Linked DNA regions of Ovis aries. The protein of the gene in region 2 purifies or fractionates together with the protein of the main gene of each other region. This does not show direct contact. Links are inferred from orthologs where the notes say so. Each region holds a gene or a part of one and is shown on either strand. Other genes may lie near its edges.

The links.
Region 1: the proteins of RNF111 (region 2) and SKI purify together in Homo sapiens (affinity purification with western blotting, with the first as the bait; 3 studies listed by BioGRID). This does not show direct contact. The link is inferred for Ovis aries from reciprocal best matches to the Homo sapiens genes RNF111 and SKI.
Region 3: the proteins of RNF111 (region 2) and SMAD2 purify together in Homo sapiens (affinity purification with western blotting, with the first as the bait; 3 studies listed by BioGRID). This does not show direct contact. The link is inferred for Ovis aries from reciprocal best matches to the Homo sapiens genes RNF111 and SMAD2.

What each region holds. Positions count from the first base shown.
Region 1 is NC_056065.1:49,878,565-49,882,313, forward strand, and holds the start of SKI (ski oncogene), read right to left. Parts: upstream 2,492-3,749; coding exon 2,402-2,491; intron 2,132-2,401; coding exon 1,825-2,131; intron 1,708-1,824; coding exon 1-1,707. UniProt on the Homo sapiens protein: May play a role in terminal differentiation of skeletal muscle cells but not in the determination of cells to the myogenic lineage. Functions as a repressor of TGF-beta signaling.
Region 2 is NC_056060.1:49,377,566-49,380,079, reverse strand, and holds the end of RNF111 (E3 ubiquitin-protein ligase Arkadia), read left to right. Parts: intron 1-317; coding exon 318-435; 3' UTR 436-1,973; downstream 1,974-2,514. UniProt on the Homo sapiens protein: E3 ubiquitin-protein ligase. Required for mesoderm patterning during embryonic development. Acts as an enhancer of the transcriptional responses of the SMAD2/SMAD3 effectors, which are activated downstream of BMP.
Region 3 is NC_056076.1:47,914,017-47,917,765, forward strand, and holds the start of SMAD2 (mothers against decapentaplegic homolog 2), read right to left. Parts: upstream 2,422-3,749; 5' UTR 2,319-2,421; intron 2,023-2,318; exon of another isoform or gene 1,883-2,022; intron 1-1,882. UniProt on the Homo sapiens protein: Receptor-regulated SMAD (R-SMAD) that is an intracellular signal transducer and transcriptional modulator activated by TGF-beta (transforming growth factor) and activin type 1 receptor kinases.

The DNA.
Region 1 (3,749 bases), on a different chromosome or scaffold from region 2:
AGGCCCGCCAGTTGGCCGAGTCGAAGCCCCAGTGGCAGGTCCGGTTTTCCAGAGCCTTGTGCGAGTGCACCACGAACTTGTGCGGCGGGTACATGAGGCGGCAGTCGAGGCACTGGATGCAGGCGGCGCTTGGGCTGCTGTAGAGCTCGGGCACCAGCAGCCCCTTGCACTTGCCGAAGCACTCGTGGTACACACGCACACTGCGCTCGCTGAGCTCCAGGCCCAGCGCCAGGCTGGCCGCCAGCTCCTTCTTGCAGGGCGGCGGGTAGGCGCCGCCGTACAGCAGCGCGTTGCACAGGCGCTCGGCGTCCGTCTTGGTGATGAGCCCGCACGAGGGCGCCGAGAAGGGCAGGATGCCCATGACTTTGAGGATCTCCAGCTGGTCGGCCGTGCAGCGCGAGCAGTAGATGTGAAGCTCGTCGCACACCGAGTTGATCTGTTGCAGCGAGAAGTCGCGCAGCACGGAGTTGAGGATCTGCGGCAGACACAGCCGCTTCTCGCCGCCCACCACGAAACACGAGATGGTCTCGCCCTCCAGCACGGTCTCGCAGCGCTCCGTGGAGCGGTCGGACGGCATGAAGAAGGGCCCGGGTAGCACGGGCGGCGGCGGCTGGATGGCGGGCAGGTGCAGCACCGGCGGGGGTTCGGCGGCCGCGGGCACCGGCGCCGGCACCGCGGCCGCGCCCGCCTCCTTGGCGCTCTCCTTCTTGTAGGCCTCCTGCGCCCAGCGCGCCGAGAAGGCGGCCGGGCCGCCCAGCGAGCTCATGGAGCTGAGGTGGAACTGCTCCAGCGTCTTCTGCAGCCCCGGGTGCGGTTGGAAGCCGCCGCGGCCGCCCGCCGCCGCCTCCATGGTGCGCTCCGGCTCCCCAGGCCGCTCCCGCTCCCGCGTGCCCGGGCCCCCGCGGCCCCCGCCGCCGCCCCGCGCGCCCCGGCGGCGCCCCCGGCCCCGGCCCCGGCCGCCCCCCGCCGCCGGCTCCCGGCCGATCACGGCCGCGGCCTCGGCCTCGCCCGGGGGCCCGAAGGGGAAGGCGGGCGGGGCGAAGGGGTCCCGCCGCTGGAGCCCGCCGCCGCCGCCCGGGCCCGGCGCCACATCCACGCGCCCCGCGCCGCGCCCGCCGCCGCCCGGGCCCCCCGCGCGCCCCCCGCGCGCCCCCCGGGCCCTAGGCGCGGGGCATGCCCCAGCGCGCGCCGCCAACGCCAACGCCAACGCTCGCGGGCCCGGGGCTCGCGGGGGGCGCGCGGGCAGGTGCCGGCGCCGCGAGGCGCGAATCGCCGCGGCGGCCGAGGCCGAGGGGCCCGGGAGGAGCGGGGGCGCGGGCGCGGGGCCCGCCGGGCCGTCCTCGCGCGGCGCGCCGCCGCCGCCCCGCTCCTCCCACCGCGCGGCGCCCGCCCGGCTCGTCCCGGCGGCGCTGGCCGGCCGCGTTGCGCCCGCCGCCGGCCTCCCGGCCCGGCCCGCACCCACCCCGCCGCCCGCGCCCGGCTCCGCGGCCTGCCCACCCGCCCGCCCGCCCGCGCACGCGGCTTCCGGGGCGGCGGAGCGCCTGTGGGGCGGCCTCAGACCGCGGCGGCGGCGGCGGCGCGGGGCTCGGCGCACATCCTCCCGGCGGCTCGCTCCAGCTCGGACTGAGCGCCCGGCGCTGAGCTCACGCCGCCGCCCCGCCCCGCGTCCCGCCCCGCCCCGCGCCACCGCCCCGCCCCGAGCGTCGTCTGGGGCCGCGCGTCGGCCTCAGCCGAGCGCCAGCCAGGAATGCGCCCGCCGCCCCCCCGGCCAGGCTCTTCCAGGAACGCGCGCTCCCCCCGCCCGCGCTCGGCGCTCCGCCTCACTCGGCCGCATTCGGGTCCGCCCTCCGGCCCGGGACTCGGATCCGCTCGGCTGGTCTCGGGCCTGCCCGCCCGCGACTCGGCTTCGCTCGGCTACTCTCGGCCCCGCCCGTCCGGGACTCAGCTCCGTTCGGCTCCGTTCGGGCCCGCTCGCCGGAAGGCCGCTCGGCGGGGGCGGTGGCTGCGCCCCGGGCCCCCCATCCGGTGGAGGCTGTTTCCTGCGCGGCTGCGAAGGCGCCCGTCCAGCCGCCGTGTCGCCGCCGGAGCCCAGAAACCCACACAGGGCCCCCCCACCACAACCGCAAACCAGCTGAGGGGCGGACGGATGGGGCCGGCGCACCCTCTACCGCACGCCTCCCGGCCCAGCCCCCCGGGTCCCCACGCACGTGACGAGGCAATATGACCCAAGTCCCACGCAGGACTAGGACACCGAGCCAGACGACGTGGGTTACTACAGGATGGCAACACCCCAGAGACCCCACACGGGAGACAGGCACCGTGCAGACTGTTCTGGGGGTCCCCCCGAGCAATGCAGGCGCAACACAGCAACCCCCAAAGGATGACTGGCTGCAGGGCCGACCACCCCACGACCCTGCTCGATGGTCCCCCACACAGCTACTTTGTGCGCCCACCGCCAGTTCCAGGGCAGGGCTTGCGTCCAGGTTACCATGAGGCCGGGGCTTCTCAGGAACCTGGCTCCTGCCTGCGTGCCCCGAGCACGCTGGCCCTACCCTTACCCAACAGCTCCCAGGCTCAAAGAGCCATTTTACATCTGCAGGGCACCCAGGGCAGGGCCAGTGTGAGATCACACTGTCCATCCTTCTGCACCCTGGCTCTATCACGAAGGACAGACAGACCAGAAAGCGCTGGGTGGGACAAGACAAGGGCCTGAGGTTGGACAGGCTGACCGGGTGGCCCCCAGAGGAAACAGTGTCTAGCAGAGTCCTGGGAGCTTGGGACTTGAGATCTAGAAGACAGTTCTGGTTGTGCTTAACTCAAGGGCAGAGGGACAGTCCAGCCCAGCTAGGCAGTGGCGACTTTTCTTCCAAAGGACCGGGGCACCCAAGCTGGCCCAGACACTGGAGGACACATGGGGGGCCCACAGTGTTGGGCAGAGGTGAGAGGGCCCACCCACTTCAGCCTGTGTGACCTTCAGCTTGGACCTTACTGCTCCTGACTCCCCTTTGGAGATGGAAACTGGCCCCAAACCAGCATTCCTGCCCCGGGGAGCTGAATGGGTGTCTCTGCAGGCATGGACAAGTGTCCAGAGAGGCAGCAAGAATGGGCAGAGACCCCACATCTGTATGGCTGCAGAATCTCATGGGGGGACCTTGTGGTTCAGGGTGCATTGCTCTACATCTGAAGAACTGACAGCTCCCTACCGTGAGCGTGAACCCTCTCCTACCCACATGTCCACTGAACACCAGGTTTTCCTATGGCTGCCAACACAGGAAAACTAGGAAAGGGGTCCATACAAAACAAGAAAAGAGATGTCTTTGCTTTCGCAGACTCCATGGTGCTGGAGAAGATTCTTGAGTGTCCCTTGGACTGCAAGGAAATCAAACCAGTCAGTCCTAAAGGAAATCAACCCTGAATATTCATTGGAAGGACTGAACCTGAAGCTGAAGATCCAATACTTCGGCCACCTGATGTGAAGAACTGACTCACTGGAAAAGACCCTGATGCTGGGAAAGATTGACAGCAGGAGGAGAAGGGAGCAACAGAGGATGAGACAGTTGGATGTCAGCACCGATTCAATGGACATGAGTTTGAGCAAACTCTCGGAGATGGTGAAGGAGGACAGGGAAGCCTGGCATGCTGCTGTCCATGGGGTCGCAGAGTCAGACATGACTTCGCAAGTAAACAACATCTGGACCAAAAATTTTCTGTTGTACCTGAGTCTGTTCCTTCTACATGGCTTTGACTCC
Region 2 (2,514 bases):
CAGCTCATGTATAGAAACAAAGTTGGAATAATTGTTACTGTAGTTGTTGTTCTTAAAATTCTTGAGATTTTATATAATTTGATTCTTCAACTGTGACAGTTAATTATCTTGGTCATTAATACATTACATTGCCCAAAGTATTAATTTAATGTAGGTATATAATCTTGAGTAGGGAGGTTTTTTTTTTTTTTTAACAAAAGAGAAAATGCTTAGTAACTTCATAATATTACTGAAGTATTACATGTATCATTTGTTTAAATGCCACTGCACTTGTCATAAAATAAACTTTTGCTTTTTGTTTTGTTTACTTACAATAGACGCCTTCCCTGTATGCACCTTTTCCACCAAGTGTGTGTTGACCAGTGGTTGATCACCAATAAGAAGTGCCCCATTTGCAGAGTGGACATTGAGGCCCAGCTGCCAAGTGAAAGTTGACACCATGTTTCAGAACTCTTACCCTCCCTCTCATTCCCACCCTCCTGGTACTGCAGTCAACCAAAGATGGCATGACTTACCTGCGCAGATTCGGAAGCCTTGAACTTAAGAGTGCTGGCTCTGCTACATGGTACAACTAATGCTAGACCTACAGTTTATGTATACAGTTGATTTTGATGTATTTATAAAAGCTTTTTTTTTTTCTAGATTTGACATTTTTCCTGTATCATTTTACTGTATTTTTGCATGGTTCCTTGTATTGCATTTCTTTGCACATATTATGGGCTTGTGACCCTAAACTTGCAGGCAAGATTAGCTGCTTTAGTAAGTAGAATTTTGTGGTCTTTTTGGTTTTTACATAGTACCAGGTCTTGAGAATTATGAATTTTTTTATCCATTACTAACGTTTAATTTAATCAATCATGTACTTTAGTTTAATGTATAAAGATCCTCTAGAAAATGATAATATTGTGTATTAAGACATTCCTTAATTAGGACAAAATGGCTGCTGTATATTTACAATATGGAGTTCTGAGTTCAATACCACCCTTGATACCGGGAACAGAATACAAACCATTTTCAATCAGATGCAGGTGGTACTCACATCACCAGAGTGATCAATAGAATTCTTCTTGGTGTATCCTTTTCCTTTTAGCACAATGCAGATAGAGTTGAATATTAATACCATACATTTAGACTGCTGTTCCTATTGTATTTATCTTTTTCCTCCATCATTTAGAACTTTATTTCCCAGATCCAATTTTTGCTGCTGTGAAACAGCTCTGATGAACACTAAATATTAATTTCAATTAGCTGGATTGTATATACTTGCAGATTTAACAAAATTTTAGGGAAATTGAAGAAGACATGTAGAATTTCACTCAGTCTTCTGCTAAGCACGCGTAGTAAAGATATCTGCTTACATTGATTTTTGTAAACACATTTAGTCAGGATTTAGAATTGCAGTCATTGGCAGGTATCTATGCATTCATAGAACTTCTAAAGGTCCCAGAATCACTTTTAAAGGGATTTTTATTAGTTTAAAGATAAATAAAGTCAGCTGAATCTACATGTCTCTTGTTTTATTTCTCTTTAAGCTTGAAAACAGTAAATCTGCAGATACTGTGAGGCACAAATTATACTGTCAACCTACTGTTGCTCTGGTTTTAGACTCCCACTTCATACATTACCAAGAGTCGATCACTGATTTAAAATTTTTAATTTCTATAGTTAAGATTTACTGCATAATATAGAATATTAAAGTTAAGTTAATGTACTAACATTTCTCTTTTGGAGAAAGTTTTAATCCACTTCAGGATGCATATTATCAAGATACTTTCATATACAGGATAGCCTAATTTTATTTGTCTAAATATGCTTAATATGCCCCAGATTGCAAATGCATCAGTCAGTAACATCACTGTCTGTATGTGGAAGACATGTTCCCATGGATCATATGTGAAGATGTCGATAAGCTTGCATTAAGCCACCTGCTTTGTAAGTGGATTGATTAATAAATAACTTATATTTCTATTGTCTTTGTGTTTCATAATTCATTTTTATAAAACTGCCTACATTGAACATTATGGGATTCAAAAACAGTGATCTCACTCAGGTTGACATTTGCCTAATTTTGTTTGTATTCATTCAGTTATGGCTACTTGCCTTTTTTTTGTATTAGTGAATGTTACACTGAGTAATTGTCAATATCAACATGCTTCAGCATAGTAGGTGTTAGAGATCAAGGGTGGATTATGGTTAAGAAAATTGGATATAAAATAATACAATTAATAAGAATGCTAGCAGCAGTTGTGAAAGGGTTGTGGGAGGGGTGGCAAGACAGAATGAGAAAGAGAAAGAGAGACTTTGCCATATTACTGGGGAGAAGAGCTAGTAGCCCATATTCTGCTGGCCTAGATGTAGGACTTTACCACTGGAAAACCTGTGGTCCAGGCCAAGGGATAAAATGGGGAGAATTCTATACAACGAAGTCCTCTTGATGCTCCCCAAAACACAAATACATACAGATTTCTCTATTTTTTTATTACATCAGATTTAGATGCACAACTAAATTGTTGA
Region 3 (3,749 bases), on a different chromosome or scaffold from region 2:
ACAAAACTATCCCCAAATTCCTACTTAAGAGTTAAAGCACATACCAAGCCTGACAAGCCACAAACAACAGGAAATTACTCTGCACAGTTTCTTGCAAACTATTATTTCATGAACCTTACAGATGTGTGTGCAGAGATTTGACCATTTATGACTAGATACAGGTAAGTTACAACTTTAAAAAGCCAAACTTTGCTGAACACTTAGAATGTGAAATCACTAGAAGGTATAGCTACAAAGTATAAAAACCAAGTTCTAACAGCACTTTCATACTAAAAAAAAAAAAGCCCAGAATGGATGTTTCCGAACACCTTACATTAATTAAAATAGACCAATGAACTACTTCAAACTCAACTTTAACATTAAGGGTTTAAGTGGGCACTCATCTTAGAAATGCCAATAGATTTGAACTGTTCTTATTTACTACAACAACTAATTTTACAGCAGAAAAAAAACTTAAGAAACTTTAAAAATAAAATCAGTGTTGGTCTCTGACTTTGATATAAATGTTTGCTAAATGAACTTCTGGTGGAGAAAATTCTATCAATATCTTGTATGGTACTTTTTTTTAAGGCAAATAAAAAAACATCTTCAAACTATGACACATTTATGAGGCCCACTTTACATTATTTCTTTCATCTCTAGAATATTTGCTTCATTTACTTGTTCACAACTTCCCAAATTTAACTATTTACCTTACACACCCCCTAACCCTAACTTTTTTAAGGGATCAAAACTAGAACAGCTAATGTATTATCAAAATAATAGAGTGTATTATCTATTTGTCTCAAGGAAAGCACCCTTACAATCAGTGGTGAAGGTTCAATTCATATGAAACCAGAAGATGGAATTTTTGAAAAGATGCAATTACTCCAAGCAAGTTCGCGAGATCATTTATTTATTCACAACAAATTTAGCTGTGTCGTGCTAAAACACCACAATTTAGGAAACCCCAAACTGTAACAAACATGACAAGACTGATGGAAAAATGCTACCTCATTTTCGTTTTACCTGGAAACGTCTCTTTTTAAATAAAGGGTTAGTTGACAACAAACCGGCAGTATTTAGCTTTTTTAAGGGTCAAGAGGAAGGAATAACAAAACCAACCTAACTACTGTTTTTTTCTTTTGTTCAGGATCAAAAGGAAACCATTAACCACGAAAGGATTAAGTAAGTAGAAAACAAAAGTACTCAATCTAAGGGCAGTATTCCCCAGGAGAGAAGAAAACAATTAAAGCTGCAGGATTTGAAAACCAAGTTTGAAATACGTTGAAATCAATTAGCTTGCTCTCTAAAGGCGTGTGATTAAAAAAAAAAAACTAAAACTAATAGGCTCCGCTCACAAGAGCAACTTTCACAAGCTAGTGGAGAAGTTATGTGGACGGAGTACCAGCAGTGTGCGTGTTTGTGTGAGAGCACACGCTCGCGATTCTGAACCCCGAGACCAGAATGGTTAACAAAGGTTACAGCACCAGGGAAGTGGGGGGGGGGGGAGTGGAAGCAAAGTCTCGCATGCTCCTAACTCGGGCTTCCCAACAAGTCCCCGAAACCAGAGCCTCGTCCCTGCGGGATTTGAAAATCACCACCACAAACTACCGAGGGTGACCGCCACGGAGGAGGAGGGGACGGGCCGGGCCACACAGCCGGCCCCCGCCCCGGGCCGCGCGCGCGGGCGGGCGGGCGAGCGGGCGGGTGGCTCCCAGCGCCGACCCCCGTCCCCCCGGCCGCCCCGCCCCGCACTCCCGCACCCCGCGAGCCGCCAGGCGCCTCGCCACACCCCGGCCCCTCGGCCCGGCCAGGTGACGCGGCCGGCCCGCCTCACCGACCCCGAGCCCCACAGAGACACACCCCGGCCCCGAGGCCCCGCCGGGCGCCGCGGCGTTACCTGGACCGAGGCTCCGGGTCCCGCCCCGTCAAGAGTCCGGGGGGGTCCGGGACCTTTGTTCCTTCCTCTTCCGAAAGGGATGGAGGGGCCGGGAGGGGAGAGGGGAATGGGCCGACTGGAGGCGGAACTGAAAACACTCTGGCGGCCGCCCCGCCCCCCCAGCCGGAGCCCGGCCGGCGGCCCCGGCGCGCGGGGAGGGGACGGGAGAGGGGGCGGCGCGGGCCCGGCCGCCGCCCGCGGGGAGGAGGGGATGGGGACGCGCGTCCCGCCGCCGCCACCGCCGCCCCTCCTCCCCTCGGGCGCGCGCCCGCCCGCCTCGCCCCCACCCGGGCGGCCCCCGACGGCCGAGCCGTCCTCCCCCGCCGCGCCCGCCGGCCCCACCTCCGCTTCCGCCCTGCGCCCTTCGCCGCCGGCCGCAGCGGCGCGGCGCACCCACCTCCGGGCGGCTCGCTCGGCGCTCGCTGGCTGGTGGCTGGGAGCTGCTCCTCCGCCGCCGCCGCCGCCGCCGCCGCCGCGGCCGCGCGGTAGCCCCGCCTCCCACCCCGGGCCGCGAGCCCCGCCGATTCGCCGGCGCAGCCCCGGGGGGCTGGCACCCTGCCGCCCGCTGATTGGCGCCCCCGGACGCCCGTTAGGGGCGCGAGGTACGCTGGCCGAGCGCGCGGCCTTGGGGGCGCGCGCGGAAGACCCGGGCAGCGAAGAAAGAGAAGGGGTTAGGCCCGAGCGCCCGTGTTAGGGCCAGGGCGCGAGCTGTGGGCTCTGAGAGGCGCGGGCCGCTACCTCTCCCCACCTCCTTTCCCTCCGGCCTCCCCGCCCTCCCGGCCGGACCGGCGGCGCACGCAGCCAATCAGCGCGCTGGCTGCTCGGGGTGTGAGCCGCGCGTCGGGGGCCTCGAATCGGAAGGGAGACGTCGCTCTCTGATTGGTCCCGCCTCCCCCGTAGAGCGTGAGGCGAGGCGCGGCCGGGCGGGCGGCGGAGGACTTAGGCGGGGTGGGATGCCCGCGGTTTCGGTTGGCTTCTTCTCTGGCGCGCTCGCACGGGAAACTCTGGGAAAGGGAGTGGGGGGCGGGGAGGGGAGGCGCGTAACCTGCCGTGAGGGCGACCACCTTTCCGTCCTGATCGCGGCTGGTCCTCCGTCCCCGTCTCTGGCCGGCACCACTGGGTGGGGCCTGTCGGAAGCCGCCGCCCGGCCCACCTTCTCTGTAGTCAAGCCTGGAGTGGAGGCGTGCTTATCCTCGGGGTGGGAGGCCCCGACGGTGGGCGAGCTAAGGGGCCGAAGAGGGGTGTGCCAAAGCCTGCGTCCTGGACCCACGCGTGGGGCACCCTGTGCGAATGAGTGGGCGCGGCCCTCGTGGTGGTAAACGGGGGCGGGGTCCGAGATGTAAATAAGCCCGGGGCCGAGCTCTTTGCTTGGGCTGTAGGGTCTGGTGGGGAGGCGGGGGCGGGGGGGGGGGGGGTGGTCACAGGTATTTTTGTTGAACGGAAACTTGGTCCTGTCTTCGTGAAAAAATGGTGCTCGTTTTGCGTGTTCTGAATGCTCCTTGTGAAGTCTAGAACGCAAGTGCCTGGCACGATATCCCACAATTGCTGAGTTATTTGCCCCGTTCTTCATTTCTGCACTGCTCAGGCGCTGTTCTTAGACCCCATCCTCGCACGTCTGCACTGCAAAGCCTCTAAGCTGCTAGAAACTTTGGTCGCCTTTTCCTTGCAGACCCCGAGCCTCTGCCTGAAATCTTGAACCCAGCCAGTCATATTAAGCGATTATCAAGCATGTACGATGTTAGGCAGAGAACACCATAGAACTTCAAGTTGAGAAGAAATTCGGGTCTCACATAGGTCGTTGGTGGCAGAGATTAGACCTGTAACATGG